Lonchura striata: one gene and its partners. The main gene of each other region encodes a partner of the protein of the gene in region 2 in a complex. Links are inferred from orthologs where the notes say so. Each region holds a gene or a part of one and is shown on either strand. Other genes may lie near its edges.

What was found.
Region 1: the proteins of GNAI1 (region 2) and CMKLR1 are in contact, whole or in part, in a cryo-EM structure (PDB 8SG1), measured with the Homo sapiens proteins. The link is inferred for Lonchura striata from reciprocal best matches to the Homo sapiens genes GNAI1 and CMKLR1. Residues at the interface, in NP_002060.4 of Homo sapiens: Glu28, Ala31, Arg32, Val34, Lys192, Asp193, Leu194, Asp315, Phe336, Thr340, Asp341, Ile343, Ile344, Lys345, Asn347, Leu348, Lys349, Asp350, Cys351, Gly352, Leu353, Phe354; in NP_001135815.1 of Homo sapiens: Asn74, Phe78, Arg137, Ser140, Val141, Pro144, Val145, Ser147, Gln148, Asn149, His150, Arg151, Ser152, Val153, Ile243, Lys246, Leu247, Leu252, Ala253, Lys254, Lys257, Pro258, Ile261, Ile262, Met319, Gln321.
Region 3: the proteins of GNAI1 (region 2) and CX3C chemokine receptor 1 are in contact, whole or in part, in a cryo-EM structure (PDB 7XBW), measured with the Homo sapiens proteins. The link is inferred for Lonchura striata from reciprocal best matches to the Homo sapiens genes GNAI1 and CX3CR1. Residues at the interface, in NP_002060.4 of Homo sapiens: Glu28, Ala31, Arg32, Glu33, Val34, Asp193, Leu194, Phe336, Thr340, Asp341, Ile343, Ile344, Lys345, Asn347, Leu348, Lys349, Asp350, Cys351, Gly352, Leu353, Phe354; in NP_001164642.1 of Homo sapiens: Val52, Ala55, Leu56, Ser64, Thr66, Asp67, Leu70, Arg127, Ala130, Ile131, Ala134, Ala135, Met138, Asn139, Asn140, Arg141, Gln144, His145, Thr217, Leu218, Asn223, Lys226, Ala227, Lys228, Ala229, Ile230, Leu232, Tyr293, Gly297, Glu298.
Region 4: the proteins of GNAI1 (region 2) and HRH1 are in contact, whole or in part, in a cryo-EM structure (PDB 9LRD), measured with the Homo sapiens proteins. The link is inferred for Lonchura striata from reciprocal best matches to the Homo sapiens genes GNAI1 and HRH1. Residues at the interface, in NP_002060.4 of Homo sapiens: Arg32, Asp193, Leu194, Asp315, Phe336, Thr340, Asp341, Ile343, Ile344, Asn347, Leu348, Asp350, Cys351, Gly352, Leu353, Phe354; in NP_000852.1 of Homo sapiens: Arg125, Ser128, Val129, Pro132, Leu133, Leu136, Lys137, Thr140, Ile213, Val217, His220, Cys221, Arg409, Lys412, Ala413, Gln416, Leu417, Cys471, Asn472.

Annotation. Positions count from the first base shown.
Region 1 is NC_134620.1:11,454,858-11,462,810, reverse strand, and holds the start of CMKLR1 (chemerin-like receptor 1), read right to left. Parts: upstream 3,107-7,953; 5' UTR 2,871-3,106; intron 1,579-2,870; exon of another isoform or gene 1,358-1,578; intron 209-1,357; exon of another isoform or gene 56-208; intron 1-55. UniProt on the Homo sapiens protein: Receptor for the chemoattractant adipokine chemerin/RARRES2 and for the omega-3 fatty acid derived molecule resolvin E1.
Region 2 is NC_134607.1:62,428,789-62,436,936, reverse strand, and holds the start of GNAI1 (guanine nucleotide-binding protein G(i) subunit alpha-1), read right to left. Parts: upstream 3,219-8,148; 5' UTR 3,100-3,218; coding exon 2,982-3,099; intron 1-2,981. UniProt on the Homo sapiens protein: Guanine nucleotide-binding proteins (G proteins) function as transducers downstream of G protein-coupled receptors (GPCRs) in numerous signaling cascades.
Region 3 is NC_134603.1:112,954,606-112,962,137, reverse strand, and holds the start of CX3C chemokine receptor 1, read right to left. Parts: upstream 3,103-7,532; 5' UTR 2,985-3,102; intron 1,762-2,984; 5' UTR 1,690-1,761; intron 1-1,689. UniProt on the Homo sapiens protein: Receptor for the C-X3-C chemokine fractalkine (CX3CL1) present on many early leukocyte cells; CX3CR1-CX3CL1 signaling exerts distinct functions in different tissue compartments, such as immune response, inflammation, cell adhesion and chemotaxis.
Region 4 is NC_134614.1:5,356,062-5,363,477, forward strand, and holds the start of HRH1 (histamine H1 receptor), read right to left. Parts: upstream 3,123-7,416; 5' UTR 3,048-3,122; intron 1-3,047. UniProt on the Homo sapiens protein: G-protein-coupled receptor for histamine, a biogenic amine that functions as an immune modulator and a neurotransmitter.

The DNA of each region.
Region 1 (7,953 bases), on a different chromosome or scaffold from region 2:
GGGAAACTGAGGCACAGAGCTCTGCTCCAAGAGCAGTGGGAAACTTAATCCCTACCTGCATCCACTCAGGCACATCCCAGTTCTGCATCACGGATCCGGGACCCCCACACCCGGCAGCCTCCGGCATCCCCAGCCTCTCCCTGCACCCCATCCGTGTGAACGGCGCAGGAAAAAGGGAATAGCTGGAAAAGGCAGCCTTAAAAAAGCTGCTGTGCCCAGGGTGGGACAGAAAAACATGAGTCAGTGTTTATCTGGGCAGAGCCGGCCGGGCTGAGCGGGTCAGGTCGGGATAGGATGGGATGGATCCCACGGATCCTCCCGGCCACAGTGTGGGGTCACCCCCATGGGGGAAAGCGCTCCAGTCCTGCCAGGAAAAGGGGTTTAATCTCAAAATTTGGGTTAGGAAAGACCCCTCCCAGGGTGAAACTCCAGCAGAGGAACCCGGCCTTCCCTAGCACCAAGTGTTGAAAGAGCCACGCTGTTCGTAAAATCCCGGCCTTTTGCTCCATCCATTCTGCTCTTGGAAAGGTTCGAGGATTAAAGGGGGAAAATTCGGGTGTTTTCACCTACACAGGCAAAGATTTCCTTGAAAAAGGGCAGTCTGTACTTCTGAGCTTCTTAAAATGACTCAACTTCCAAGATAATAAAAGTTCTTTCATCTCCTCTGCTCTCTTCTAATAATCCAAGGTTTTCTCCTGGCACTTCTCAGGCAATAAAAAGACAAAAAAAACCTCCCTTTTCCAGAGCATCCTCCCTGCTACACCCCAGCAGTGCAGTGATGCCGTCCCTCACCACGGCTTGGGCTTTGTCAGGGGACAAAACCTTGGGGACGTCACTCTGCATTTGGGGCGCACAAAGGGACAGAAACCCAAGCAAACGGAAATAGGGCTGCGGGGGGGACGTGACCCCGCAGGGGATGTGGCACAGCAGGGGACAGCAGGCTCAGTCACCCCGGATCCGTGGGAGCATCCTCCCAGCTGTGCTCCGTGTCCCCAGCTGAATGCTGATCAGCACGGCAAAGAAAAGCCACCCTGTTCTCCCTGTCCCCAGCAAGGGGACACTGCCACACTGTCAGGACATCAACCCCCCCAAATTCTCTGCCAGCTCCTCTCCCTTCCGTGCTGTTTTGCCACCCCCCAGGCTGCAAAGCCCAGCTCCAAAAGAGGCTGGGGTTGTAGGGAAAATTAGGGGCTTTGTGGTGAAGGACAGTGGGGATCCCAGAGATCCCAAACCCACTGTAGAACAACAAGGGAGCAAAAAAAAACTCAAGTGGTTGCAAATCTCCAGCAAACCCTTCCTCCCAAATCCCTACAAAACATATAAATTAACGAATATATGTAAATCCAGGGGTGTTTACCTGAGCTGGATAAATCCCCAAGGAATTTTCAGCATTCAGAAGCTGGATTAGACATCTCTGCTTCTCCTCCAGCCCCGTTAGGGCTGGCATGGGAATGACCCCGGGCTTGTGGCTTTGGCATCCAGCTGGAGCTGACACGGATATTGCCGAGCTGTCTCATCCCGAGGAGAAGCACATGGGATGGGAGGATGAGGAAAATAAAGGCAGCCCGTGGAACAAACCAGCTGCTGGCCTCAGCAGAGCTGGAAGGGGAAGGGGGAAGCTCTGGGGGAGGATGTTGAATCTGCGGAGTTTAGCCGGACACAGAAGGGGATGTGGCAGCGGTGACATGTCCCGTCCACCACGGCTCCTGTGCTGCCCACAGTGGCTTGGGAATCTCCTGGGAGCCTTTGGGAAAGGTTTGGGTATCCCTCATTGTGAGCACAGCCAAAGGGTCCCCTCGGCTGCCTTTCATCCCTGCTCCCCAGGCACCCCAAATCCATGCTGGGATGCTCCTGGCTCACACCCGCAGGAGACGGGGAACCCAAAGCCATTCCTGGGGTGCAGGGAAGAAGAGAAGCTGCTCACGAGTCCTGTCCATTCCCAGCTGTTCATCCCATGTGAGGACATCAGCCTGGCCTGGTTTGTACCCCCAAAGAGAGCGTCCCCAGCCAAGGGCTGTCCCTCACCACCCTGACCTCAACCCTGTGCCAGCCAGGAGCTGCAAATCACCAGTGGCATCCACGGTGCAGGACCAAATCCCTGCCCTGAGCCAGGACATCTGAGCCAGAGGGAGATGCAAAACAGCTGGAGCAAAAGCTGCACCGTGCTGTGAAAGAGCATCACCTTCCACCAGAGCTCCCACCTGCTCTCCCTCAACGAGATCCATGAGTTATCCAGCTCTTGGCTTCTGCCACGCACAGGGAATAAATCCCAGTTCCCTCAGAGCTGGAAAAGCCCCACCCAGGTGTGACCAGGGGACAGGGGGTGATGCCCGCAGGGAGTGGTGGCAGGTGGGAGGGAGCTAAAGGCCACCACGTCCCGTGACGTGGGGACATTGACCCCGTCCTACGTGGAGGAGCTCCCGTGAGAGCCGAAAAAGAGGAATCGGAGGCGCTGCCGCCTTTGCACAACTCTGTGTCGCAACTCTGTGTCCCTGAGCTGAATCAGGGCTAGAAAAATGCTGATGTGCCGGTTCCTGGGGCTGCTGCGGGGAAAGGAGAAGCCCCAGAAAGCCGTGGAGAAGTGGGCAGGGATGTGCCAATCCCCTGTGGAGCCAGGCTGGGGACTCGTGACCGGCTCCCCGGTGTCCCTGTGTGCCAGGAGCCCCGCGATATTCCACACTGGTGGCACATCCCCAGCGGGGTGCAGAGGAGCGGTGTGCCAGGAGAGTGGGAAACGCCGCCCAAAATGATAAAACCCATGAGAAGAACGGATGGGGAGTGGCACGGCCTGGATCTGCCCCATCGCTCTGCCACCTCGTCCTGCGCCATCTGCTCCCGCAGTGTCCCCCCACCGAGTGACCTGTCCGTACCTCGCACGGTGCCAACGCTGTCCCGCTGCTCCGTGCCGGGCGGGACGGGCTCGGGGTGCCCGGGGTGCCGGCAGGATCCCATTCCCAGGCGGATCCCGGCGTGCCGGGACACACACAGGCACGGTGCCGCTCCCCGCCGCTTTTAAGGCAGCGGGGAGGGAGTTGCGTCCATCACCAAGGTTTTCTTGGCAGCGCGATGCTCGGCGAGCAACAGCTGGGAGAGGGTGTGACGCCGGGAGCTGGGAACGCTGGCCTGGATCACAAGCCAGCGTGAGGAAGCAACAAACGCTTCCCGAGGGGCCTCCTTTCCTGTGCCGCCCCCCGGGCCGGAGCGCACCGTCCCACGGAGGGATAACGGAGCCCGGAGCGCTCCGCGGGGATGCTGCTCCAGCCCGGAGCCCAAGGGGAGGCAGGTGGCTGCCAGCCCCCGCCGCGGTGCTGTCCCCAGCCTGGGGCAGCCGCTGTCCTCTGCTCCCCACACCGCCCCCAAATCCTTCCAAGACGTTGAGTCACTTCCCTTCAGGCAAATCTGGCTCCCAAACGCCGTTCCTGCTGCTCAGGGGCTGCTTTTCCCGATGGATTTCATTACCACCAGGATGCTGCAGATGCTTCCAGGCAGCCCCCCCAGCCCGCAGAGGCTCAGTGGTGGCAGCTCTGTCACCCTTTAACACCTGCAAGAAAAGTTCTTCGGGGGCCACGGAGGGGCTGGGAGAAGCTCCAGAGTCCCCTGGGGAGGAGGGATGGGAAAGGCTGGATGCAGGGATGGGATTCAGGGGGACAAACAAGAGGATTTTGGGGCAGCCCCCCAGACTGGGAGCACTGAGCAGCGCAGCCTCCACCCACACAGAGCAGGAGGTTTGGATAACCCCAGGCTGGATGTGGCACCGGGAAAATTCCTTCCCTCCCCACGCAGCTCCCGCGCTCCCAAGCCTCAACCACACTAGTCCCAGCACCCATGCCAGTCCCAGCATCCATCCCAGTCCCAGCACCCATGCCAGTCCCAGCACCCATCCCAGTCCCAGCACCCATGCCAGTCCCAGCACCCATCCCAGTCCCAGCACCCATCCCAGTCCCAGCATCCATCCCAGTCCCAGCATCCATCCCAGTCCCAGCATCCATCCCAGTCCCAGCATCCATCCCAATCCCGGCACCCATCCCAGTCCCAGCACCCATCCCAGTCCCAGAATCCATCCCAATCCCGGCACCCATCCCAGTCCCAGCACCCATCCCAGTCCCAGCATCCATCCCAGTCCCAGCACCCATCCCAGTCCCAGCATCCATCCCAGTCCCAGCATCCATCCCAATCCCAGCATCCATCCCAGTCCCAGCATCCATCCCAGTCCCAGCATCCATCCCAATCCCAGCATCCATCCCAGTCCCAGCACCCATCCCAATCCCAGCACCCATCCCAATCCCAGCACCCATCCCAGTCCCAGCACCCATCCCAATCCCAGCACCCATCCCAATCCCAGCACCCATCCCAATCCCAGCATCCATCCCAGTCCCAGCACCCATCCCAGTCCCAGCACCCATCCCAGCGGGATAAGAGCCAGTGCAGGGCTTGGGAGCAAAGGCAGCACAAGGAAACACAAGAACTTTTGGCACTGGTGCCCCCTCACCCTCCTCCAGCCTGGAAAAGGAGCAGGATTTTCCCCCACTGGGACACCCCAAAATCACCGCCCTGAGTTTGCCACCAGACATTCCAACCCTCTGCCCAGCAGAAAGGAAGTTCATCTACCACAGGATACTAATTAAGGCTAATTAATTATCCTCAGCTGTAAAGACAGGGGCAAAAAACATCCTGAATCCAGCCAGCAAGGGAGAAAATCCATTGCGAACTGATGGGATTTCCTTTTGTGTGTCTGGAGTTAAACGGTGCCACCAAGAGATGCTCAGCCCAGGCAGCTCTGGGTGGCACCAGCCGGGACCTGGTGGGAGTTTTTGGACTTCCCAAAACCACCCCAGGGCCTGCTGGGGCTGGGAATGCTCAGCTATGGATGCTCCTGCACGTGGCCTTGCCAAGGCCTGACCCCGGGACATCGAGCAATGACCGAAATCCCGGCAGCTCCGGGGGATGACCTGGCTCAATCCCGGTGATCCCAGCAAGGCCGAGCTCTGCAGCCCCCCAAAACCAACCCCCCAGGCACCCGGCACTGCCCAGGCCCGGCAGGATGCAGGATGCTGCTCTCACCCTGACCCCTGCGTTTAGCAGGGTGAAAGGTGCTGACTCGGGATAGGATTTCCCATCCCGAGCGTTTGCGGGTTGGGTTTTTTTCCCTCCAGGGCGCTCAGCAAAGCCCTGCGGGGAAGGAGAAATCCCCGCTCCCGCTCCCGGGGCTGCCGCTGGGGCAGGATCCGCACGGGAGCAGCGCCGGGAGCGGCAATTCCAGGCGCCGCGGCCGCGCAGCCTTTGGCAGCTGTCATGTCCTTCCTTGGCAAGCGCCGAGTGCCACCCACACCGAGCAAAGCAATTAAAGCTCTACATTGATTCGGGCTAATTAAACGCCCTGGAGCAGCTCCCTGCCGAGCCGGGATGCGCGGATGGGGTCGGGATGCGCGGGTGGGACCGGGATGAGCGGATGGGGTCGGGATGCGCGGATGGGGTCGGGATGTGCGGGTGGAGCCGGATTGTGCGGATGGAATGCGATGCGCGGGTGGAGCCGGGATACGCGGATGGAGCCGGGATGCGCGGATGGGACCGGGATACACGGCCGGAGCCCGGCAGGTCCGACCCCTCCAGCTCTCGCCCTTCTTCCCTCCCACACAGGCGCTGGGAACCCGCCTGATTCATCCCGAAACAGATGTCGCAGTCAGTGGGGAAGAAGCTGGAGGAAGTTTTCCCTCTCCAGGGGAGCTTTCTCCGGCACCCAGCAGCACTTTCCCTCGCCCCGGGCAGAGCCGTGGGGATAAATGGCTGGGAAAGGAGCTGGGCTCAGCTACGAGGACAAGACGGGAGGATCCCGCTGCGTATCCCAGCTCCCAGTGCCGGGCTTTAGAGCTGGGTTTATGCCCAGGGACAAGCCTGCCCTGCCTTTCCCGCAGGGAGCTCATCTCATCCCTGGCTCCACACCCGCCGCGCTCCGACCTCCGCATCCCGTCACTGCCTCCCGATCCAAGCGCGAACTCCCTGCCCAAAGAAAGAAGCCACAGACAGGATGTCCAAGAGACGGCTCCCGTTCCCTTTTTTCGCTGATTTGATACAACCGCGGCAAAAAAAAACAAAACAACACCAAAAACCCCAGTCCCAACCTTGTGCAACTCGAGCTTATAAATAGCCCCAGAAACACGGCGGGGCTGGGACCAAACCCCGCTGTGCTCCCGGGGCTGGCACCATATCCCTGATCCCACCCCTGGGATGGGCAGCTCAGGGATCTCCACACCCCCAGATACCCTCGCAGAGCCTCTGTTTGCCTCCAGTCTCGGATCATTCCCCCCAATTTTCCACGTGCTTCCCTCAGAGCTGTGCCAGGGGACAATTCCGAGGTCTCGGCTCCCAAAGCCCACCCTTGGCAGAGGAGGATTGATGGGAACATTCCCGGGACACGGCTGGGCCCTGTTCCATGGATTCCTCATCTGTGGCATCAGCCACCCCCTCCCATCCCCATCCTGCTCCCCAGGAGTGATGGAAGTGCCACTTCAGGAGATTTCTCCATGATTTCCAATTCCTGCTGGAGCAGGGATGAGGAATTGCCAGGCATGGACACTCTGTTGTTGCCTTGGAGCCCCTGAGCAGGTGACAGACAGGATGTCACCTGCCCAGGGATTTACGAGCAGAGGTGGCATCGAATCCTGGAGTGGCTGGGTTTGGAAAAACCTTAAACTCATCCCATTCCATTACCTGCCACGGACAGGGACATCTTCCACAGACCAGGCTGCTCCAAGTCCCATCCAACCTGGCCTTGGAATAAGAAATTCCATTTAAAAAATAAGAGATTCTATTAAAATGCCTAAAGGGCTCCAGGTCTGGATGCTGCACATCCCACTGGAAAATGGGAGATGCTGACAGGATTCAATTCCTTGTGCTGGGAACTGCTGGAGCCAAATTCAGGCTCATCTTTCACCCTGAACTCCTTCAGCATCATCCTAAAGTCCTCTGGATGTGCTTTTCCTGCTGCTGGTGTGCCGAGTGAAGACACCAAACGTGGATAGAGGGGAGCATTCCTGAAATCTCCCAGCAATAAAATCAGTGGGATCTGCCTGATAAAACCCCTCAGGAAACTCCCAATCCTTTAAGGCACCAGCTGGATTTGTCTTAATAACAATAGATTCCTTCAAATTCCCAAACATCCATAAGGAAACCTGCCTCATTTATGGTTTTTTTAATTAATAAACCCAGTTTTCCTTGCAATCAACATCTGGGAACTCAGCATTCCATGGAGCAGAGCCTTGCTGGGACATGTATTTTTGAAGCTGACTTTTCCAATGGCCCCATCCTGCTTCCCATCACTGGGATGGGCCCAGGAACTGCCCAGCTCCGGGTGGGAAGGTTCAAATTTCTGCCAGCTCTGAGCAATCCATGCCTTTTTTGGGGTTTTCTTGGCTGTGGGGGGGTGGCCTTGGTGCAGGTTCCCTAGGCTCCAATTGCCCTGGAATTTGTAAAAATAACAGCAAAATACGTTTTATTCCTGAGCCTTTGCCAGGCTGGGATTGTTTCTGAAATGAGGGAGTTGCTTGGTGGTGCCAGGGAGATGTGGGGGTACCTGGACCCTCATTGGGGTTGCCCACAGCATCTTCCCTGAATGGATCTGGATCATTGATCCCAATAATCCAGAGCTCAGCCCCGTGCTGGATACAAGCCTTTCCCACACAGGAGCCCAGTCCCAAAATCCAGCTGTTGTCTCAGAATTAGTTAAACAGATCCAGAAATGTAGGGATCCATCCAGAGGGGGCTGTTGATGGAAGCCAGATTCACTAACACGAATGAATTCCTGATTTTTATTCCATAAAAAGTGCAGAGGGAATCTCTGATATCCATGGCCTGGAGTGGACGCAGAAAATCCCCAGAACTGCTCCCAGCTGATGGAGAATGGAGCTCCCAGAAGGATTCAGACATTGGGAATACCTTAGAAATCAATAGGGATAA
Region 2 (8,148 bases):
AAAGTATATACTTTTGTATGTTGAACTTTTAGCCAAAATACTACATTGCACTTATATTTTTTGTTCAGGTCTCATGAAATTTAAGTTAAACATTGATTGAAAATAGTATTAAAGTAAATAAGCTTGTTTATGTACTGGTTTTAAAAGATAAAATCATCAAATCCCATGTAAAAAAAGTATTTTCCATCTGGCTTACCAACTACAAGGTCAAATTCAGCTTACTTCTAAGAATGATGGTTCTCAGAAATTTTCCAGGAAAGGCTCTGCTGCTCCTGGGGATAGCACATTGAAGTGCACAGAATCACAAGGCTAAAATAGCTATACATGAATAATGTTTAGAATCCAGTATTTTTATTCCTAATACCTGCATTCAAAATTTTAGGAAGTGATGAACCAATTTACATATATGACAAAAAACTCAGACAATCCAGTTCAATAGTATTTTGGGTAGATTAAATATATCTGCTTATTCCTAGAGACAGGACAACAAAATAGAAACTTAACAGGTATCAGCGATTTTGTTCACAGTGAGGGTTCAGGTACAGCAATGTCACATCTCTCTCAACTGAATCCCTACAATTTCCTGTTTTAGAAAAAAAAACTTAGAAAAGCATATGATGGAGTAAATTAAGTTTCCAGTCTAGAAATCGATTAATTTTACGAACACATCTTCCCTCAATTGAGCATTCTAGCTCAAACTTCAGTAGGCTTCTCTAATCACCAGGCAAAAATAGATTTTTTATATATGCTGGAATAAATCCAATTTAATGGGTCAACTATAATAATAATAATAGGTATACAGTTACATGACCTTTTTTTACATAAATAAGGTTGTTTCAACTGCCACTCGCTCATTGCATTTGCCTGGCAGCAGACCACAATTTTTACTTTTCCTTTTATTTCAGTACCTTTTTAGCAGAACAAACCCATAAATAGATGTAGGAGTACAACCAAGTGGATGATAAACTATGACATGTGGGCTGAACAAGCAATTGGGAAAGTGAGTGGTGAGAAGAAAGTGACTCTAGTGGAAATAACTTTAAATACTTTTGCCACCAGATAAAGCATTCACATCACATTCAAGACACCTGACAGACTTGCAAGGAAGAGGAAGGCAAAAAACTTTCATTCCAAAACATGTGAAATAAATATCCATGGGTGCATGCACAAAGGCTCATCCAGAGTTCACTAAACATTTAGGCAATCATTGTTAAAACAATAATCCCAGCACTGGTCCCAGGAGAAGCCAGGCTGCCAGCCTTCACACCTCTTTTTAGCAGGGGAGAAGGAAATGCTAACCCAAGAGAACTGCTGCTCAGGGCACCCTGAGAACCTACATGCAATTTGACCATTTGTTCCATGCTCTTAGCTCTCCTGAGAGCCCAGCAGAAAGGCTTTCCAGCATCAGAAACAGAGAATTTATAAAATTTGAGCTCATAACATAGGACTTAGTACGTAAGAGCATTAAAATAGTGACAAAATCCATTCTTAAGTTTAAAGCATCTTTAAACAGATGTCATCCGTAGCCAAGAATTATGATAAAAATAGGAAAACCAGTACCAAACTACAGGCACTACAAGTTCCACACAGAACAGCAAAAAATTGAAAATTAATTTCAAATGCCTTGCCAGATGACACAAAGTTTTACTTTGCCACTTTTTAAAAAGGCAGCAACATCTGCAGCATTGCTATTATCACATACAGGAAAAGCTTTCCACAAATAATCTGAGGATTCCAACGATGTTCAGGACTAGGCACAGTACCAGCCCAAAACTGAGCAGATTTAGGTTTCCACCAATAGGCTTCCACTTCCAATTCCTGGAGAACAATTCGAGCTTTTGTTTCTGGCTTACCTCACAAGTTAAATTTTAAATCTAGAAAGTTATTTTAGGATCTTTGTTTTTCCCATTCTGGATTTGTTTCATTTCTTCATCTACAATAAATTTTTTGTCCCTTTCTGGAGCCATCTTAGAATTTAGCAACACAAAGTTAAGAGGTCTACTACGTTTGTAGTCAATAGAGCACTACGGGAGAGCAAAATCAATGTCAAGGAGAGTGAGATATTGTGCATCATTTAAAAAGTTTGCCTAAAACGGCACCTCTGAGAGAGAAGCTGCAACTCAGCAGCTATTTTAACTGGCTATTAGATCCAGTCTGGTTTAGCTATACAGAACATACTGCGAAACTTCCTACAACATTAATTCAATGCAAATCTTGCAGCATTCAGTTGTCTCCAACCTCCAGTAGTTTTAATCCTCAACAAATGTACTCTATTTAAAATTCTCACTTCCTATTTTCTTGTAATTTTAAAAATAACCTTTTCTTTACACACAAGAATATCTTAAAATACACAAAAAAGGCAAGTTTCAAGAAGAAGAACGCACAATGACAGTAAGTCATATTACACACGTAAGTAGCTCCATCAAGCTGGTATTTCCCGTTGTAAGATCCCAGAAACTGTTCCAAAAAAAAAAAAAAAAAAAAAAAAAAAAAAAAAAAAAAAAAAAAAACCGAAAAAAAAACCCCACCCAAAAGTTAAATGGTGCTTTGCCTTCTTTTGACACTTTTTTATACTTTACGCTGCAGCAACAGTTCAGGAGTTGTTCGGGTCTACAAGAAAACATGAAGAGCAAATATCCCCCCAACGTAAGGTTTCCTTCCTTTCATCAGAGGAACAGAGACTGCAGGTCAGAAGTTTCATGCGTTATCCCGTTCCTATGAAAGCCAGGGCCCGGGCAGCCCACGCCGCGCCGCTTCCCCGGGCGCTGCCTCTAATCCTTCCAGCAGCCGAGGCTCCACCTGCTCCAGGACGCTGCTGCCCCAAAACCTCTGAGGGGCCCCCAGCACGCACCCCGGGGTCCGAGGGCAGCACGGCCCCCCGCCCAGCCCGGAGGCTTCCTATGAAACTGTACCCTCGGCAGGCGAGGGAGCTCCGGGCAGCGGCCGCCTCAAGAGGAGCCTCCCCTCACGGCATCCCTTACCTAAGAGGAGCAGCTTGACCTCCCTGGCCGCCTTCTCGCCGTCCTCCCGCAGGTTCCTGTCGATCATCTTGCTCCTCTCCACCGCCGCCTTGTCCTCGGCGCTCAGCGTGCAGCCCATCTTGGCGCGGGGCTGTGCGGCTCCGCCGGGAGAAGCGAGGCAGGGAGCGGCGGGGCTCGGCGGCGGGGCGGCGCTGAGGAGGGAGTGGGACCGAGCGCTCCCCGCTCGCTCTCTGCTCCCCCGCTCCCTCACCTGGGGCGCGGCGGCGTCGCGGGCACCGCGCGCCGGGCTCGGCTCAGGGCCGAGAGGGGAGGCGGCGAGCGGGAGGGGCGCGGGGAGGCCGGGCCGGGGGAGCGCGGAGCGGGGGCAGCGGCGCTGCGGACGGGCGGAGCGAGGCCGCGCACCGGGGCCGCCGCTCCCGCCGCCGGCCCTGAGGCTGCTGCGCGCGCGGCACCGCCCCCGCCCCGCCGGAGGCGCGCGGCCGCGCGCGCGCCGCCCACGCCGGGAGGGGAGAGGGGAGGGGCGCGCGTGCACGGCGGGAAGAGCGGCGGGCGCGGCCGCGCGTGCGCACGGCGGCGGCGAGGCGTTTTGGGGCGGGGGGCGGAATGGGGGGGAGCGCTGCGGGAGCGGGGCTGGAAGCGGAGACGCAGCGGGAGCGGAACGGGAGCGGGGGCGGACCGGGGCTGAGAGCAGCGCGGCCCGTGACGCCCCCGCGCGCGTGCCCCAGGCAGTTGCTGGGGAGGGGCTCGAATTTAAACTGCTCGCGCGCGGGAGGTTCCATTGCTCGGCGGGGCGGGGGAGAGCCGGGCTGAGCTGTACCAATGGAGTACCCCGGGGGGGGAGGGGGTCGAGCTCCTCGTCCCCTTGTCCCGCTCCGTCCCCTTGTCCCGCTCCGTCCCCTTGTCCCGCTCCGTCCCCTTGTCCCGCTCCGTCCCCTTGTCCTGCTCTGTCCCCTTGTCCCGCTCCGTCCCCCCGTCCTGCTCAGTCCCCCCGTCCTGCTGTTTGTGCTGCCGGGATGCAGGGAAGCACCTCGGGGTGCAGCCCCGCCGTTGCTGGCTGCTGGCAGTCGGCTCTCGGGCGGGCTCTTACCTGGACTCATCCGTCAGCTTTACCCCACAAACCCAAAGCCAAACGAGCTATCCCACCTCACGGCTCAAAGCTGCTCATCCCGCTCTCTTTCCTGATGGACCTTTCTTCATCCATGTATATGAGTATTTAAATGGGGGAGAGGGTGCCAGGAGGATGGAGCCGGGCTGTTCCCGGTGGTACCAAGCAGGAGGACGAGGGATAATAGGGAAATTGGTGCAGACATAGTTCTACCTGAACATGAGAGAGAGCTTCACTGTGCAGTGACCGGGCACTGGAACGGGTTGCCCAGAGAGCCTTCCCCACTGGAGATACTCCAGAACCATTTGGATGCCATCCCGGGCCATGTGCTCTGGGATGACCCTGCTAGAGCAGGGAGGTTGGAACAGATCCCCCCAGATTCCCCCTCCAGCCTGACCCACTCTGTAATTCTCTGTCCTAGCTCAGAGCCCAGGCACGGGGCTGTCTGCACATCTGTGACCTGCCAGAGGTTGTTTTATGACTTGTTTTGCTCTTTATTATAAAAATCCAAAGGAAACTATGCAATGCTTATGAGTCTTTCCCCACCACACACATGTTGCGCTGTTTGGATTGCAAAAGAAAGATCCCGTTACCCGATAATAGGATCACAGAACAAATGGGGTCGAAGGGACCTTGGGATAATCCAGCTGAGCTGCGGTGCGACTGGGACCCACAACCCCATCTGGGGAGCACTGATAGGGTGAAGCAGTGATTTCACTGAAATTCGTGGATAGAACTCTGCACAACCGATAAAACTTTGTGAATCTCAGGATAAACTTTGGTCCAAACATAAGGCGCAAAAGCTGACAAGGTAAATCTGTTCAAATTAAGATTCATCATTCCAGTGAGTCCAGGATTTTTTATTTCTATAGAATCTCAAGAACTTCTGCCCCCAGAATGAGCTCAAAAAGAGCAGCATTTTACAGCACAGAAGGTGTTTTAGCATTAGAGTGCAAAAACTTTAAGTCAGACTCAGCTATTACTATACTTAGCAAATTAAAAAGCTTTTTTCCTGTAAAACTCAATGGAAAAGTTGTAGTAGCAAACGTTCTATTTTTGTTGGATGTGTCAGATTTTCTTCTTTGCAGGGGTCTTTGAGTGCTGACAATGAATAAACCATAAGTAATGATGTAAAAAATGAAGTAGATAACACTCAAACGATAACTTAAATATTTTTCTCATCTTCTGATTGGTAGGCATACTTTCAGTCCTAGTAAAGGATGTTACAGAATTCTTTCTTAAAGAACATCAGTTCTCAAGATTTTATTAGACCTCAGAGACATTTTATTTGGTCATCTTCATTGTCCCACTGCTATGGAGAATGCCAGGGCACCTGAGAGGTGTTTGTTGCTTCTCTGCCCTCCTGAGTTGTTGAGGTGCTTAGTCCATTTTGTGTTCTCTTGGGCAGACTTCCACACTGGTACTGTGTGGGATAAAAGCTTTTACAAAACAATTCATGTCACTTATGGAAACCTAGTCTTGTTTTAGGGTTCCTGACCTCTCCTGTGATAGAGGGAGCAATGTCAACTGCTGCTCAGGAAAGAACAGAGTTAGTGGAGATAAAAATTAATAAGCTTAGGGATATTTTTCTGATTTGGAAATCAAGGATAAAGAATGATTTCTGAGATAACACGTGGTTAGGATATTTATAAGTGAAAGTACAGATTAAGGGATAAGAAAGTAGTAAACAGAGATTATGGTAGGTGGAAATAATGTGATAATGAGAGCGGCAGATGTTACAGAAATGGAGATACTACAAGTAGGACACCTCAACTTCACATGGATTTTGTTTCAATTAATCATGTGCATAGAGCACACATTTCTATACTTTTCACCAGGAGTATTTCTTAGGGTGTTCTCTCTGTCCTTTTTCCCCTTTAACACTGTCACTACATTCATAGGCAAAAAACATGAAACAGCCCCAAGTTCCTGTTCTTTTTATCACCCTGTATCTGGAAAACACGATTGTATGGTATGTCCTCTTCTGCACATATAACTTAGTCTTAAAAATAAAGGTTGACTTCTCTTTTTAGTTCTATTTAACCCAAACCCACTTTATTTCATAATTAGGACTTTTCTACTACCTTTTCCTATTACAACCCTGTGGATAAATTTTACCTGATTGTACATGGACAATATTACAAAAAAAACAGTGCAACTCCTGAGCATTCTAACATGCATTCCTTTGAAATTTGAAGCCAATTGGTATAGATTTTTAATTTTTCAGAAGTGGAAATACTACATGGCCCAGGTTCACCAATATTTCCTTATGCAGTCTTTTTTGAAATAATAAGAGAGCTTTTCAACAGTTCAGCAATGTCAGTTGTTTACTTCTTATGCAGCAATGGTGCAGGGGATAAATTATTGTATTCTAGTTGCTTCACACACATAGCAGTTCTTAGGATCATGGAATAGCATAAACTCTTTTTACAGTGCCCAAGAGGGCTGAGGAATGATTGTGCTAGCTCTGTTGTGGCCAAGAAACTCTGTCTATTCAGAACAAAGGTTGTCAGTGCAGTGCTTTATAACAATGTCTTACATGGTGCTGTGGAGCAGTGCTGCCCTGAATCACTACCTGGAACAGCCACAGATCAGTACCTGATGTCTGAAAGGATTTCCTTCTAAGATAAAATAGTCTACTAGACAGTGAAAGAAGCTATAGTTAAGTAGATAAATCTAGTCTATATTTGGACAGTACACCCATGATCCCTGTGTTTTATTCCAAAACATAGGGAATGTGTAAGCTCTAACTCATTGATTAGCATTGCCTCACAGCAGTATGGTTATGTGAGACAGAGTATTTCATCCTTGTAGTTAGAACTGCACAGCTTCTACCTTCATCTGACAAATTGGGATATTGCTCAGGAGCTGTGTGTTTCATGGCCTCATTCCTGAGAGGCGATTATTCCAAGAGATTTTGTTGTTTTGCTTGGTTTAACAACAAATAGCTGTTGTTTGATATGACCTCCTTTTGAGTCTGCATTCACCAGCTCCTGGGCTCATTTTTCTGTAAGATTATCTTTAGCTGCTGCTGCTGCATGGACTTAATAGATAAATTTCTTGTGTTTGGTATGGAATGCACAGTGTTTTATGGAGATGATGATCAGCCTTAAGCCTTCTATTTTGCTCGTTTTCAGATTTTAATTTAAATTATCTAATTTAGTCATCTTATTTGCTCGTCTTTAACCAGACACAGTACACAAAAACATATATGAGAAATTGAATATAGTTGTTAACAAAAGAAACAGAGGAAAGTGGGTAAGAATTTTAATTTCTGCCTTTGAAAAAGTAAATAGAGCAAAGCAAAATTCTTTCTGAATAAAGCATGTAACTGTATGCATAATTATATCTCAATACCTGAACTGCAATATTTTTTATTTAAGTTATTTAATTTCCTTTTGTGCTAAGAAAATATAATGTTCCCAAAGTATGATGCAAGGTATCTTCTTCCATACTGATTATTCCAACCCTTCTGCCATGAGCAGGGACACCTTCCACTAGACCAGGCTGCTCAAAGCCCCATCCAGCCTGACCTGGAGCACTTCCAGGGATGGGACATTCACACCTTCCCTGGGCATGTTGTTCCAGTGTTTCACTGCTCTCACAGTAAAGAATTTCTTTCTCATATTTAATCTAAACCTGCTCTCTGTCAGCTGGAATCCATTCACCCTTGTCCTGTCACTACATGCTCTTGAGGAAAGTCCCTCCCTCTCTGTCTTCTTTGTAGGCTCCCTTCAGCTGCTGAAAGGCCACAATGAGCTCACCCCAGAGCCTTCTCTTTTCCAGGCTGAACAAATCCAGTTCTCTCAGCATTTCCTCACAGGAGCAGTGCTCCATCCATCCAGTCAACTTGGTATTCCTCCTCTGCAACTGATCCAGGAGGTCCATTGGTCTCCCTGTGCTGGGGACCCCAGACTGGGATGCAGTGCTTGCAGTGGGGCAGAATCCCCGCCTGGCCTGCTGCCCATGGTGCTCCAGACATCTCCCAGGACACAGCTGGCTTTCTGAATCTAAAACAACAGCTGTATTACACCATTTGAAACTTAAACAGATGAAAAAAAT
Region 3 (7,532 bases), on a different chromosome or scaffold from region 2:
ATTTTCCAATTTAAGGTGAAGTTGAAAGTGCAGAAACATTATGTTGAGGCTTCCAAAGAATTAGGCCACTTAAAGTGTCATAAGTAAATTACTCAGAAATAGAAGCTGATAAAACCACTGCTGATAAGAATATGACTGACTATTGCAGAGGCCTTGGATCCCTTTACAACGGTATTTAGGTCAAAGATATTTTAAAAATGCCACTTCCCTGATCCAATTCTACAGTTTTTACACCAATATCACAAATTAAATTAGAAGCAGACAGCACTAGTTGAAAATGAGAGGCATGTAAATCTACAAACTTAAACCAATGGTTTTTGGTAGAAAAATTCATGTGGAGAGATCAGACTTTGATAATGGAAGGCATGAGATAATGCAGAGTCCAAAATCCCAAGGGTCTCTCTCAGCATTACCTAGGGCATTATAGTTTTGGAAAATGCTTCCTCAGTGATGCTCCATGCACACCTGGAGGTAACAGTAAGTAACCAGAACACAAGATTTATATTAGCCCATCACATCAAAATTAGGTATATTCATGATTTATTAAGAAAAGCCAAAAACATGGAATTTCTTCTGGATGTCTCTGCCAGTGTCAAGGGCTTCATCACCTGTCTTTCAGAGCAACAACACAAGTATTATTTTGAACAAAATCTTGCCCTTGCTCCTTCAGTGTGCTGGCCAGTCTGGTGGCCCCACTCAGGTTGTTTGTGCTGCCATCACAAAGCAGGCACAGGGGACTGAACCCAGGTGTCCTGGGCACATCCTGCCCTCAGCAACATCCCCCCACTTGCTGATTTTTTTTTGCCTCACCAGGCAGACTTGCTGTGAGCCACTGGGAAGGGACAGCTGCACCACAGCAGTGTGTGGTTTGCTGGGGCCAAGTTATGTCCTGCCAGACCCCTGGCAGCTCACCCCTGTGGCTGGTGTATTTACAGAAAAAATTGAAGCTTGCAGTGATTTCAACTCCTTCCCTCAGCACTGGGGAGACAAAGCCCCTCTGAGACTGACAAGGTGGCTATGCAGGAGCCTTGGTGCCCACACACTTCATGGAGCAGGGAATAGGTTCATGTTTCAGGGCATGACCAAGTCTCTTGAGCACGTGAAGCTGTTTCAGAAAAGACTCCATGAAAGATGACCTGACAGTACAACTCATACTCCCATGTCTCCCTTGCATGTTGAAGTTGAGGTTCAAAAATCACTGAAATGGTTCTGAAATTTGCATCCTTATCTCTCAGGGTGGTCTTGATCCTATGACCAGAAGCAAGGGACCTTGACAGAGCTTCTGCAGCCTGAAATGGTTTCCCAGCAGTGCCCTGCTCCCAGGGATCAGCCATGGGATAGGAAATTAAGTAAATGGTGAGCATTGTTGTAGAGCAGTAGTTATTTTGGTCCTCACAGAGGCTGGCGAGCACTTTAACTTGGCTGCTGGGAAGCAGTGGCAGAGCTGAGGGAGCAGGTGTCCTCCCAAGAGCTGCCCTCAGGGAACTGGGTCTTTGGGGTTGTCATTTGACGATAGTGACTGGATGGTGACTGCCAGGATCGGGTTTTTCTTAGAAAATTTATTTCACAGGTATTTCACCTAGCTTGTTAGTTCCCCTAATTGCCCTTTCTGCTTGCACAATTGCTCAGGCACTCTGTACCTATATTTTCAAATGTATAGCTGACCATTTTGCCAGTGTTTTCTCTTACCTGCTCTTCCTCGGTATTTCTTTTTCCCAGGCTTTCTCTTCTGAAGCAGCATTCAAATTTCTTTTGTATTTTCTGTTGAAGGGACAGCAAAATCAGATTATTATTTGTAGCTATGAGCACTGTTTGTACTTGTTTATGGTTACTGTTGGCTCCATCCTCTCACTACCTTTATTGTGGCATCTATTTGCTTCCTGCCTCCATCCCCTTTTTGTGATTAATAATTTCACATTGCCCCAGCACCCCTGAGAAATCAGAGAAGGCTCTCCAGAAGTGGGAGATCTTTTAAATAACTTTCTCCATCATTTCAGAGAGCAGAGCACATTAAACCTTCTTGATTATGTATGGATGAGATTTAAGTGCCTGCTCCTTCCTTGAAATATAATTTTTTTAATGGGATTTACTCTCAATTTATTATGCGTTGTCTTTTGTCAAATTTTAGCCTTTTCTTCTCCCTTTTGCACTTTTTCTGCACTGCCCAAACCCTTTTGATTCATTGCAGTTGCCATCTATTATCCTGACATCCAGTTCCCTGCCTCTGGCTGCACTGCCTGCACACAGGGCTTGCCCCAACAGACCAGATTTTGGAAACCACTGCTGTGGACCTGTGTTTTTATCACACAAATACTTAGCAGGTTGCCACCACTGTGGCATTACCCAAATGTCTCACACAAACTATCAGACATGTTCATGTAACATGTTTCCTGTGGAAAGCTGAGTCACAGAAAAATTAAGTATATTATACAGAAAGGTACGTGTTTTCAAATGTCTTTAATTTCCATTGCTCTCTTGCGGGTCTGTCTGTGTCAGACGCTTTCTATTGACTCTATCAGATTTTCTGCTTTGGCTGTCTTTCAGTGTCAGTGATGTTTTGGATGTTGGTTCATTGACTAAAACTAGAAGCAAGCAATGCTGGTGAGTTGTGAAATCTCTGCAGGCATCAAAGGAAAAACTTCTAATGAAGTAGAAGGGCTGTATCTTCTTGTCTGTTCTTCTAGGTTACTGTTGCACACCAGTCATATATCAGCATTTACTAACCTTGAGGATTTCTATCCAGGGTAAATATTCATTGTACCACAGGATGACACAAATAATTAGTGACTGAGTAAAATTTATCTGCCCTGGTTCACTTCGTTAACAGAAGTGCTTCCCTTTTTACTTTCACAGTTTGTAAACGGTACCCACATCATCTTTACCCAAATTAAATATCATTTAGGTTCCAAGCACTAAGCAGTGGAGAATTTCCTTTGTCTCATTTTTCCCTGTCAAATTATAGGGAAAATACAATTGCCTCTTACCTTAATTCATAGCTGCATTGGAAACCAATGTTTTCTTCAAGCTGAGCCTGTTTGGATTTAAATGCATGTTTCCTCTTCTCTAATGCTCATGCCTACATAAATTGCATGGTTAGCTTCCTGGGCTGAGCTTAGGGGCTGAGCTGAGAAAGTACTGATGTGCTGTGCTTGGGCCCTGCTGGCTTCTTGTGAAACTGTCAAGTAGGATGCAGCCACTCAGAGGGACAGAAGTATTTACACAGGACAGGATTTGCACAGAGACAGAAATGCCTGAGGTGCTGTGACAGCACGTCAAAGCTGTCACCCCCTTATTTTCCCCCCTTCTATGCAGAATGAGACATTTTCCACTCAGACACAGTGTGTAGAAATATGAGTTTGGTACAATAGCAGGGGCCTTGGGCTGTGGGAATGCAGGATGCAGCACAGAGGAGTACAGGTATGGGAGTGTAGAAAATGGGGCAGAGGCTGGCACTGTGGAGCCACACAGCTCTATACAAATCACTGATGGTCAGGTAAAAAAAATGCAGATCTGGAGATGGCAAAACTAGGTTTAGTGGTAACAGAGAGAACAAAATTAGTGTCTAACATACATAAGGGGCACTGCCTATAGTCGGTTGTGTATAAAGCAGTGAAGAGAGAATAAGATATAAAAGCATGTTGGAAAACAGAAAAACAATCCAAAACAGATCCTGGAAAAAGACAGAAGGAAAATCAGGGTGAACACCGCACTCATCCCAGGGAAGGACTGGAGGTGCTGACAGCTCTTTCTGACACCTCACTTCACCACAACCACCAGCCTTAGGGCCCAAAGGAGCAGGGATAAGTGTGAGCATAACACCAGGAAAATGGATAGAAACTATGTGTGTGCAAAAAATTGAAGTTGCAATAATGTTCTTGCTTTTCTGCAACCAGCAGATTTAAACTGATAACAATTGGAGTCTCAAGAATGCCATTGCACTCACAATACATTCTTGGCTCTACCTATGATACATTGTGCTCCTTCTTTGCCTGTAAACAAGATTTTAAGTATAATGTCTCTCTGCAGCCCAGTGGAGTCAGAGGGTTTAAAATATTGGGATGTTCATAAACCAAGGACTCTTCTTGGCCCCTGACCTGAGCATCCTGCTCAGGGTCGCACTGTGAGTGCAGCACAGCTGGGATGCTGTGAAGAACATTGCCAGGCACTACTGGTGCCCAAAAATCAGTTCCTCTGGGGTGGAGCAGGGCAGGAGGCTGTGCAGTGGGGTGTGGTATGAGAAACAGACATTGCATCCACTTGGCTGCTCTACCAATACCAAGGCCCTCCAGGACACAAGGAATGTGGTCCTGGAAACACGCCCAGGTACTGCCTCAAAAGTCAAGGGAGATTAAAATGCCCTCTCCCCAGAGGCAGAGTTGTGCTGTCTTCAGGCAGGCTGACCTTGGTGGGATTCTGGGGTGGAGAGTATCTTCCAGGTTGCCTGAGCTCTTGCTTGTGGATTGGTTAGCAAGTTACCAGGCAAGTATCTTTGTGTAAGTTCAGTTCTGGTATTTCTGCCAGTTACATTTTGCGATTTTTTACTGTGTTATGCTTTATCTATCAAATGTTACATCCGGAACAGCTACATAGCAATGTAATTAAGGTCAAACCGTGGGCCTCCAACATCAGCCAAATTATGCAAGTGATGTCAGCCGGGTGGGCCAGGGCAAGCACCCATGGAAATAATCAGGGGACTGACTCCTGTATAGGTGTTAGGCAGGGACAGCAAAGATACACTGCTGGAAATAAAGTTTAAAGGGTAGGGAATTATAAAGGGCCAGAGCAGTGAATCTGCAATACTCACCTTTTTCTCTGACAAGTGCCAGCAGACCCATTCTACTAATTCTTTAAAAACAGATGTAAAGCACTCTGCACTGTTTTTAGGACAGCATCAAAAGGCTGGTTTCTCCCCACGCCTGTAAAGTAGGATCTATGACTGCCAAAATTATGAACTTTTAGCTTGCAGTAAGGTAATTTCTGGTAGATGGTACTAAGGAAATGTTCTCATTGTGTGAAAAACATGAGATTCAGAAAGCTGAATGAAAGCTTCCTCAATGCCAGTGATAATCTGATACTATCGGAGCAGCACTGGCCTGTCTGTAGATGGGCTGTTGTTTGGAGGACACCCAAATCTAAATTTGTCTCCCATGTCCTCGTGGGGATGATGAAGAGCTGTGTCCCTCCCTCCCCCCCTGAGCCTTGTAAAGAAGCCACAGATGGATCAGTAGGAGTTTCCCCACTGGGGACCTGCACATGCCAAGCTGGTTTGCTGCTGATCAGTGAAATGTGGGCAGAACCCAGACAGACACGGCCACCCTCACCGTGGTGGCACCTGCTCCTGGGTCACCAATACTCAGCACAGTGCCACTAGTGTGGCTCTTTGCAGGCAAAATCCTTGAGAAGAGGGTCAAACAGGAGAGGCTGGCCCCAGGCATTTCTTACCTCCAGGTAGAAGGAACCTCCTAGAAATAGGGTTTTCCTGAAGGTGGTCATCAACCTCTTCCTCTTGTGCTGCCCAGAATTTAACTGGAACCAAGCACATAGCAGGCTATTACCCTCAGAAAGAAATTAAGTTTGCCAAATTTTACCCACAGAGGTTTTATCTGGAGACTTCAATTAAAGATAAACCAATTCAAGCTGACTCACAGAGATCCTTAGCAGATGTCCCTGGGAGACACAAAAGGCTTTCTGCTGTATTCTGCTGTGAGTGAAAAACCTAGATAAGAGTGTTACTCATTATCATGGTGTGCACTTGTAGTGCAAGATAGACAGATGTGAAACCAATACCATCTGAAAGGCAACTGCCACATCAACCATATCTCTGCTCTCCATCTTCAGCCTCTTCACACTCTGGTACTGAGGACAGCTCAGGAATAAAAAATTCTGAGGAAGCTGCTGAAAGGACTTTCATTTTGGTCCATACACAATGGATGAAAACATCTTTTGTTTCTCCAAGCTGAAACAAAAAAGACATTGCATCCCTTGTAACCAGAGAGACTTTTGCTGGGAAGGGCTAGGTATAGTGTGCTGCTTTCTCAACTGGGAGGCCTACAATGATTTTACAGGAAGGAATCAAGAGTAAAGAATGACACTGTGGCTAAAGAATGGCAAACACCCTGGTCTTTTTATTCTATCTCTTTCTGAGTGGCCTTCCAAATTTGAAAACTCATGTCTCTCCATATCTAGGGAGACCAGAAGTACTTCAATACCACTGGCATCTCCTCATGCTCTGCAAGAGCAGGAGCAGCTTTGGGAGGCAGGGTTTTGCACAGTATCACTGGCAAGTTCAAGCTTTGTGGGCTAAAGCACTTGGTAAAGGAACATCTAGCCTGAAGGGTCAAAATGCTGTTCTCCCCAGCAGACTCAGCTTTTGCTGCCATGGAGGAAAGCCTGATGGAGGTGATTTGCTATGAAAAGAGGCTCTCTTTGTTCTCAGGAGTTTCACTAGAGTCCCCTCTGCAGGCCAGTGGGGAACAGCAGTGGCCTGGGTGTACCCGCTCCATCCTCCCAGGAGCTCTGGGACGCCGAGCTGCCCTACGTGGCTCAGCAGCGTGACACACACCACAGCCTCGACTGCACTGGCCCCTGCTGGACATTTTTTTATCTTAATTTCTCCAAAACACTAATCTCTTCTGTCTGGGTAGAGGCGCTCCTGGAGGTGCATCCCTGCCACATCAGCATCCCGTTCCTTCCATGCTGTCCTGCAGCAGAGCCCATCCAGCAGCTTTTGCTGCAGATGTGAGCAGCAGCTGCTCAGACACAGACACATACAAAAATCACAGAAATAATTTCTGTGCCTCACTTTTGAGAGAAAAGCCAGCAGAGAGAGCCTCATCCCTCCATGTCACTGTTATGCAGAGATGCAAGAAGACAACTGAGCTTTGGTGTCTTTCCAGACACTGGTGGGAGATGCATTTATTTTACATTAAAAAAGTGGGGATGTAGAAATTACACAGAGTGAGGAAGAGAGCCATTATGTCTAGGGATGAAAATGTTTCATCCTGAGGGCTGCTGAAGGGAAGAGCCATAGAAGGCTGAAGGTTTGCACAGTTTCTACAAGCAGAAGGAGCATGGCTCAAACAGATATCAAAAATCAAGAGAAACATTTATTCCCACATTAGAAATGTCACAGAAGGGATAGGGACATTGAAACACTTTAGTGCTTAGTCTCACTCATGCCTTGGTAGCCCCACTGTGTTCCTGAGCTCCAGCTGTCATACAGATATGGTGCTGTCCTGCCCTGGAGATGTGGCAAAGGCTCAGCCAGGTCTCCTGCAGGTGTCCTCCTCCCCTGGGACCGGTGACGTGCCTGTGAGCTGCTCGGACCCGCCTGTTTCGGGGTGTACCTGAGTTACACTGATCACTCACAGTACATCATGAGGCTGCCCTGCTTGTGAGGTCAGCTCCAACAGTAACAGCATAGCCCAAGAAAGATGGGAAGAAGCCTTTGGTTGGGCAATCACATCCCTTCCCTCCTAGGCTCATCCAGACAGGAGGAATGGCTGCAGAGCCACACTCCAGCAAGCTGCTGT
Region 4 (7,416 bases), on a different chromosome or scaffold from region 2:
GCAGGTACAATCTATTAAGCCCTGACTGAGTGGGAGAAAGTTTCCAGAAACTGGCATGTCTCTTGCTGATAGATTTTTAAGAAATTACAGCTCCAAAGAGCAAAATTCTTGCTCATCAGACTAAATTCAAGCAGAAAGTGAGATTTTAATTCAGATGGTCTTTACTCACTCTGTTGTACTTAAGAAACTTATTTATTTCTAGTGATTTTTTTCCCCTAAATTATTCTTGAGTTTTTGAAAGTACTAACATGCTAGAAGTTTGATTAATTTCCTTCTCAAAAACTCATTTATCTCTCTGTAAGGGAACAGTCCCTAGCCAATGGCTGGCAATATTCAAGGAATATTTTTTATAAAAAGTAAATGTAAAAACTTGGTTAACCTGCCTGTTGTTCCCACTCAAATGACAATGTCTCAGCCCAGCCAGGACAGTTTGGAAGTGTAGCTTCAGTATCCTTCAAGCAACATAACCAGCTACTTATTTAAACAATTTTCTACACACCACTGTATTTACTTCCTTTTTTTCCTAAGTAAATTTATTATGTTTAAGTTCCAGCCTTAACCTGAAATTATCAGGAGATAGATACAGACTTTTTTGACACTGGCTGGCATTTTTTAAACAACTCTCTTTAACACTTGGCCTATATTCCATGAATATTAAAAACAGTTAACAGAAGATGGATGCATTCCAAAGAATGATTTGGCCTTCCAAATATAAGCTCAGACTTCCATGCAACTCTTCTTTTAGCAGCTCCGTTTTCTAATTTACGCTGTTCGAAATGTCATTTTTTCCATGACAAGATACAGTCTTGTTCTTGTGATAGCATTTCCCAAATATGGATTATTGGATTATTTTTTCCAAGAGGTTGGAGGAAAAACTCATCTTGACAAGAATCCCAGAGCTTCCAGATATGGTATTAATTTTCCCAGCTTGTCTAAACATTATCAATATCAACTAATTTGTCATCAATGTAATCTCTTAGCAAAAGAGTATTTAAATATAATTTTCTTTAAGTACTGCTGTGCTGTCTTATATTCTTTGCTCTATTACCTGTGTGTAAAAAGAGAGTTTGCTATAGATGCCAGACCTGTGAAATTACTCTGTAATGAAAGAAAAGTCCTTTGTGCTGTGATGCAGGAAATAAACCCTTGAGCTGTAAAATCCCTTATAAACAAAGGGGAATTTCCAGGGAATGTGGGGAAAAGCTGAGCAGCTGCAGTGGTGCCTTTCTGTTCTGGGTTTGGAACCCATTTTTCTAACTCAGTCTAACAGGACATCTTTCCTACAAGGATAGCAAAAAAAACCTTGATTTTTTTTTGGACTCCACCTTGTCCTACTACTGACTCCAACCCCTGACAACTGTAAAATTGGTGACTTTATCCCTCTGCATCAGAAATACAATTAACTTTTAAAAATGTAACTCACCCTGTCATTCAAACATAAAGATCTGGTTCTTTCCAAGTGGCTTGGGAGATCACTACTCACAAAAGTAAAAAATAAGGTATGTGAATAAGAGCTGGGAGTTCTTTCAGTGGTGAAGTTGAATCACAATGAAAAGTCTTTAGGGATTTACTTTAATTCAGCTCAAGTGAACTTTTGGTGCTTTGGAACTGTGTGAAATCCATCACAAAATGGATAGATTTAAAAATCCTAGTGGGTGTGAGGAGTGGAACCTGTATATTCAGTCTCTTCAAACATCTGGTGAATTTACCATAGTAATTTGATGAGTTCCTTCATATTTTAGCAATAACTCATTGTAAATATGAAAATTTTCCTTTCTAGAAATACACACCTGACTTAAACAAGCTCCTTGATTGTTTTTTTTTTTTTTTTTTTCTTCAGGCAGCTTTAATGTTTTTTGTGGGATTAAGCAGATGGTAAAAGGACACAGGGTTTCTTAATAGTGAGAGAGCCTGGTGTGGTGCAAGTAAAAACTTTAAAAACATCTTATCCAAGAATTCCCATTCCTCTCCATCATTCTTGTCTGTAAAGGAAAGCCTGGGGTGGCCACATCAAGAATGGGGTAAGTTTTAGGGCAGGTTATGTCCCTGCTTTAGGTTCAGCCCCCTCAGGATGTGCTGGACTGGTATATGAGGAAAGATATGTATGAAAATAATGCATTTACAATTTTTCCTCGCAAGAGCACCATTGTTTTCAGAAGGGGTTGAGGGTTTAAGTTATTTCTCATCCTTTCTTCCACTGTTCTCCCTAAAAACAAGGAACCCACCCCTCCCTGCCTGTTTTTCCCTGCCAGGTACCCTTCCCTTCCCTTACCAGAAAGATGCTTGAAAGAAGAGCATAAATATTTTCTGTGCAGACAGGAACTCCTCAAAACCATCTCAATTCAAGTGTGGCCGTTAAGTACAGTGGGGAATCTGGGCTTTATCCATCTGTTTCCCCTCCCTTCCTTCCCATTTCCATGTGAGCATCCCCTCCCTGCTCTGGTCTTTGCTGCGTGACCCGCAGCGACTCCTCTCTGCCCGGGGGCAGGGGGGAGCCTGGGGACCTTTGGAGCTGCTGGATCTGCAGCTTGGACAAATGTCCTCCGGGGGAAAAGCTGGCTGAGCTTCCTACAGGCTATTGCTGCACTTTTAGGATTTTCCTTCAGCTCGGTTTGCCCCTACGGGAGACTCTTTGCTCCACTCTGCTGCTCTGGGCTGGGATGCGCCGGGTCAGGAGCAGCCAAAATCTGCCAAGGGCTCCCCAGTTTGTGCCGAGGGAGAGTTCTCAAAAGCAGAATGTGTTTGCTAGTGAGCTGTGCTGCTCCTGTTTGCTTTCCTTCCCTGCTCCTCTCGCTGCGCTCGGGGGGGACAAGCGAGTTCCGAGGAGCCGCCCGCGCTCCCCCAGCCTCCGATGCCTCCGATGCCTCCCATCCCTCCCATCCCTCCCATCCCTCCCATCCCTCCCGTCCCTCCGGTCCCTCCCGTCCCTCCGACCCCTCCGATCCCTCCGGTCACTCCGATCCCCCCGATCCCTCCAGTCCCTCCAATCCCTGCCGCTGCCCCTCGCCCCAGCTCCCTCCTGCCTTTCCCCGCCGCTGGTCGCTCACCAAAGGCCGGAGGAGAGCGGGCAGCGGCCGCGGCAGCTCGGGCAGCGGGGCCGGGCGGAGCCGCTCCGCCTGCCCGGGGCTGGGCTGGGCCGGGGCGCGGTGGAGGCGGAGGAGATGGGATGCGATGGGAAGCGATAGGAGGCGAAGAGAAGTGATAGAATGCGGGGGGGGGGGGGAGGCGTGGCAGGTGGTGGGAAGGGATGGGATGTTTTGGGAAGCGGTGGGATGATATGGGAGGTGTGGCAGGCGGTGGATGCTCTGGGATGCTCTGGGAAGCGCTGGGATGCTTTAGAAAGCGGTGGGGTGCTACGGGAAGCGGCGGGATGCTTTGGGAAGGGGCGGGATGCTATGTGAAGGAGTGGGATGCTATGGGAGGCGTGGCAGGCGGTGGATGCTTTGGGAAGCAGTGGGATGCGGTGGGATGCTTTGGGATGCGGTGGGATGCGGTGGGTGCGGTGGGATGCGGTGGGATGCTTTGGGAAGCGGTGGAATGCGGTGGGATGCGGTGGGATGCGGTGGGATGCGGTGGGAAGCGGTGGGATGCGGTGGGATGCGGTGGGATGCGGTGGGATGCGGTGGGAAGCGGTGGGATGCGGTGGGATGCGGTGGGAAGCGGCGGGATGCTTTGGGAAGCAGTGGGATGCGGTGGGATGCTTTGGGATGCGGTGGGTGCGGTGGGATGCGGTGGGATGCTTCGGGAAGCGGTGGGATGCGGTGGGATGCGGTGGGATGCGGTGGGATGCTTCGGGAAGCGGTGGGAAGCGGTGGGATGCGGTGGGATGCGGTGGGATGCGGTGGGATGCGGTGGGATGCGGTGGGATGCGGTGGGATGCGGTGGGATGCGGTGGGATGCTTCGGGAAGCGGTGGGAAGCGGTGGGAAGCGGTGGGAAGCGGTGGGTGCGGTGGGATGCTTCGGGAAGCGGTGGGTGCGGTGGGTGCGGTGGGATGCTTCGGGAAGCGGTGGGTGCGGTGGGTGCGGTGGGATGCTTCGGGAAGCGGTGGGAAGCGGTGGGATGCGGTGGGAAGCGGTGGGATGCTTCGGGAAGCGGTGGGAAGCGGTGGGATGCCGGCCGGTCCCGCCGCGGCGCTCCGGGACGCTGCCGAGGGTCGCTCCGCTCTCTCCGGGGAAGAGCCCGGCTCTGGCGCTGCGCTGCCCGCGGCTCCGCTCTGCCCGCCCGCCGGAGAGCCCCGGGTGTGGCCGCAAACCTGCGGAAACGTGAAATGTGAAATGTGAAATGTGAAATGCGAGCTGGCTGCAGCGGGGACGTGACGTGGGGGCTCACCCGAGCTGACCCCAGAGTCTGCGGAGGATCCGAGAGCACGTCCCGGCCTGGGACCGTGCCAGCCCTCATCAGCCACAGCGCTGTCACCCTTCTCTGCTCAAGTACCTGGAGTTTCTTGTAGTGGAGCTTTCTTACACAACTACTTCAATATTGTAAATGCAGGCGAACCCAATGGGATGAAATGATGATGTCTGACTCAATTCAGAAGCCTGAATGATTTCTGTATTATCACTATGCTAAAATGCATTAATATGCTATACAAAAGGAGGATACTAAAACTACATACTACTTTCTCTGACTCTAACTAACACAACGTCTGACTCTCTCTCTCGAGTCCAGACACAGATGGATTGGATTGGATTGGATTGGATTGGCCATCAGGATCAATCAATCCTCACCAGAATCCAACCAAGCGCTCACCGCAGGTAAACAATTCTCCAAACACTTTCCACATGGGAAAAACAAAGATCAGAAATAGAAATAGTTTTCTCTTTCATTTCTCTCTGTGCACCTCTATGAAAAATCCTGAGAGGGAGAGAAATGTGCTGCCACACTTCAAGACCTAGAAAAATGCCACATGTGTAACACATTATTGTATATTCAGCTAAACTGATGTTTTTGTGATTCACATAGGTCCAGTACATCTTCTCTGTGTTAAAGATATGCATAAGATTTGGGAGATTTTTTTGCAACTATCTTACTCATATTCATTCCTTTCTTTAAGATCATGCTCATTTAAAAAAAATGTTTAGAAATGTATTGCACAAAGCTCTCTGTGGAGTCAAACGCGGAATTTTGTTATGTAGGTGACAAAGAAATTGTGCAACGATGTTTTTTGCAAACAGCATTGTTGGGCACTTGGTAACTTCATTGTTTGAGCAACTGGTGAAGAGGTATTGTGAACTTTGCACAATTCCTCCCCACCATGAGCAAACAGGAAAATACAGGAAATCCCCATGTACCTGCCCTCAGTCTAAGAGGATAACATTCATTGCCAAAAGATGCAACTCTCAGCAAAATGATACATCCATTAGCTCCTTTTTTGCTGTTACTAAGGCAGTCTTTTTGCCCTTGAATTGCTCCCTGTCCCACTGCAATTATGATAAACCCAATTTGGGTTTTGGGACCCAGCTTAGGTCCTGTCTCTGGGTGTGAGAGCAGGGAGCAGGCTCTGCTCAGTGCTGCTGAGAAGCAGAAGAGGCAGCAGGCAGGAAGGGATGCACTGGACAGGAGGCACAATTTTCCCCTGGACAGTGACCAAGCACTGACCAGACTGCTCAGTGAGGGTGTGGGGTGTCCCTCCCTGGGGATGCTCCAGAGCTGTGTGCCCACAACCCTGTCCCTGTGCCCTGGGATGGCCCTGCTGGAGCAGGGAGGTGGCACCAGCTGAGTCCTGTGCTCACTTCCAGCCTGAGCCATGCTGGGATTCTGTGCTGAGAGGTTTTGCCCTGGAAAATGGTTGTGCAAGAGATGAAAGTCTTTTCTTGCTGGTGCCTGTACACAGGATTGAAGAACAAGTTGTGTGCTCCCATCCCACTGCCCAGCCCAGGATGTTTCTGCAGCAGTTTCCTGCTCAGTCTCCTTTGCTGTTTGACCTCTTTGCTGAGTGCAAACACTTTTCAGGTAGCACACTGTAAATCAGGGCTGTTTATAACTTTTATATAACACTGATTTGCAACTGCTCCCTGTGTTTATTCTCATTTGGACTTCTTCCATGCAGACGAGGCTTCCTACAAGCACCACCAGAGATGGAGGCCTTAACCCCCTGCTGAAGTGCTGCTGTGAGATGTTCCTGCCTCCCAGCAAACGTGTTTGTTCCAAACTGGATTTAACGTCCTTTAGAATGCCAGGGGCTTTGTCCTGCTGAACATAGAACTGGAATTTGCATTTATATAGAAAGGACCAAAGTAAAGCACAGAGTTCCAGCATGGCTCAGGCTGGAAGTGACCACAGGGCCTCAGCTGGTGCCACCTCCCTGCTCCAGCAGGGCCATCCTAGGGCACGTGGATGGGATTGTGTGCACATAGCTCTGGAATATCCCCAGGGAAGAGACCCCACAGCCTCTCTGGTCTCTGCTCAGGGCTGGGCAGAGGGGCAGGATAGTTCCAGGTGTGCCCCAGGGCAGAGGGACAGGATCGTTCCTGATGTGCCTCACAGGCTGGGCAGAGGGGCAGGGTCACTCCAGATGTGCCCCCAGGGCTGGGCAAAGGGACAGGATCACTCCAGATGTGCCCCAGGGCTGGGCAGAGGGGCAGGATCCCTCCCTGACCTGCTGGGAGTGCTTTTCCTGATGTCCCCAGGATGCCACTGGCCTCCCTGTCCCCAGGACACCCTGCTGGTCACACCCCTGGGAGCTGTCACAGGAAGGAGCCCGGGAGATGAACCTCTATGGTCTCATGCCCCGAGATCTGTGTTCATTTTGAAATTGTAATTTATATTGTCAGGCAATACGAAAGTTGTCATCACATGTGAACAAGCTCACAGAGGCTTATAGATAAGAGTTTCACAAAATATTTGTACAAATTCAGCAGTCTTTTACAAATTTCTCAGGCTTTTCAAGCTTCCTCTTAAAAACTTCCAACCCAGGCTACTTTTGCTGGAGGATTCTGAAGAAATCCTATTTCAAACAAGCTCTGATGGAATTTCAAACAAAGCAAATGGATTATGCTCGGGGACATGGAGCCCTCTTGATTTACACCATCATTACTTTTTATTTGGGAAAACTGAGCAGCAGGCTAATAATAGTACAATTTTGAGTGTTTGCCAGGGTTTTTTTAAATGTTCACTGTGTCTGCATGCCCACTATTCTTGTTTTTAATTCTGCATATTAAACTTCAGAGTACTGCAAGAAATTATTAAAGTAGATTTTTTGATTAAATTTGCAGATTTGTATAAATAACAAATAACAAATAACAAATAACAAATAACAAATAACAAATAAATAATAAATAATAAATAATAAATAATAAATAACGACAAATAATAAATAATAAATAACAAATAATAAACAGTACAGTAATCCACTCATGCAGATGAGTAAATCTTTGTGAATTCTTTTTGATGCCCATTATGCCAAAAGTAGTAA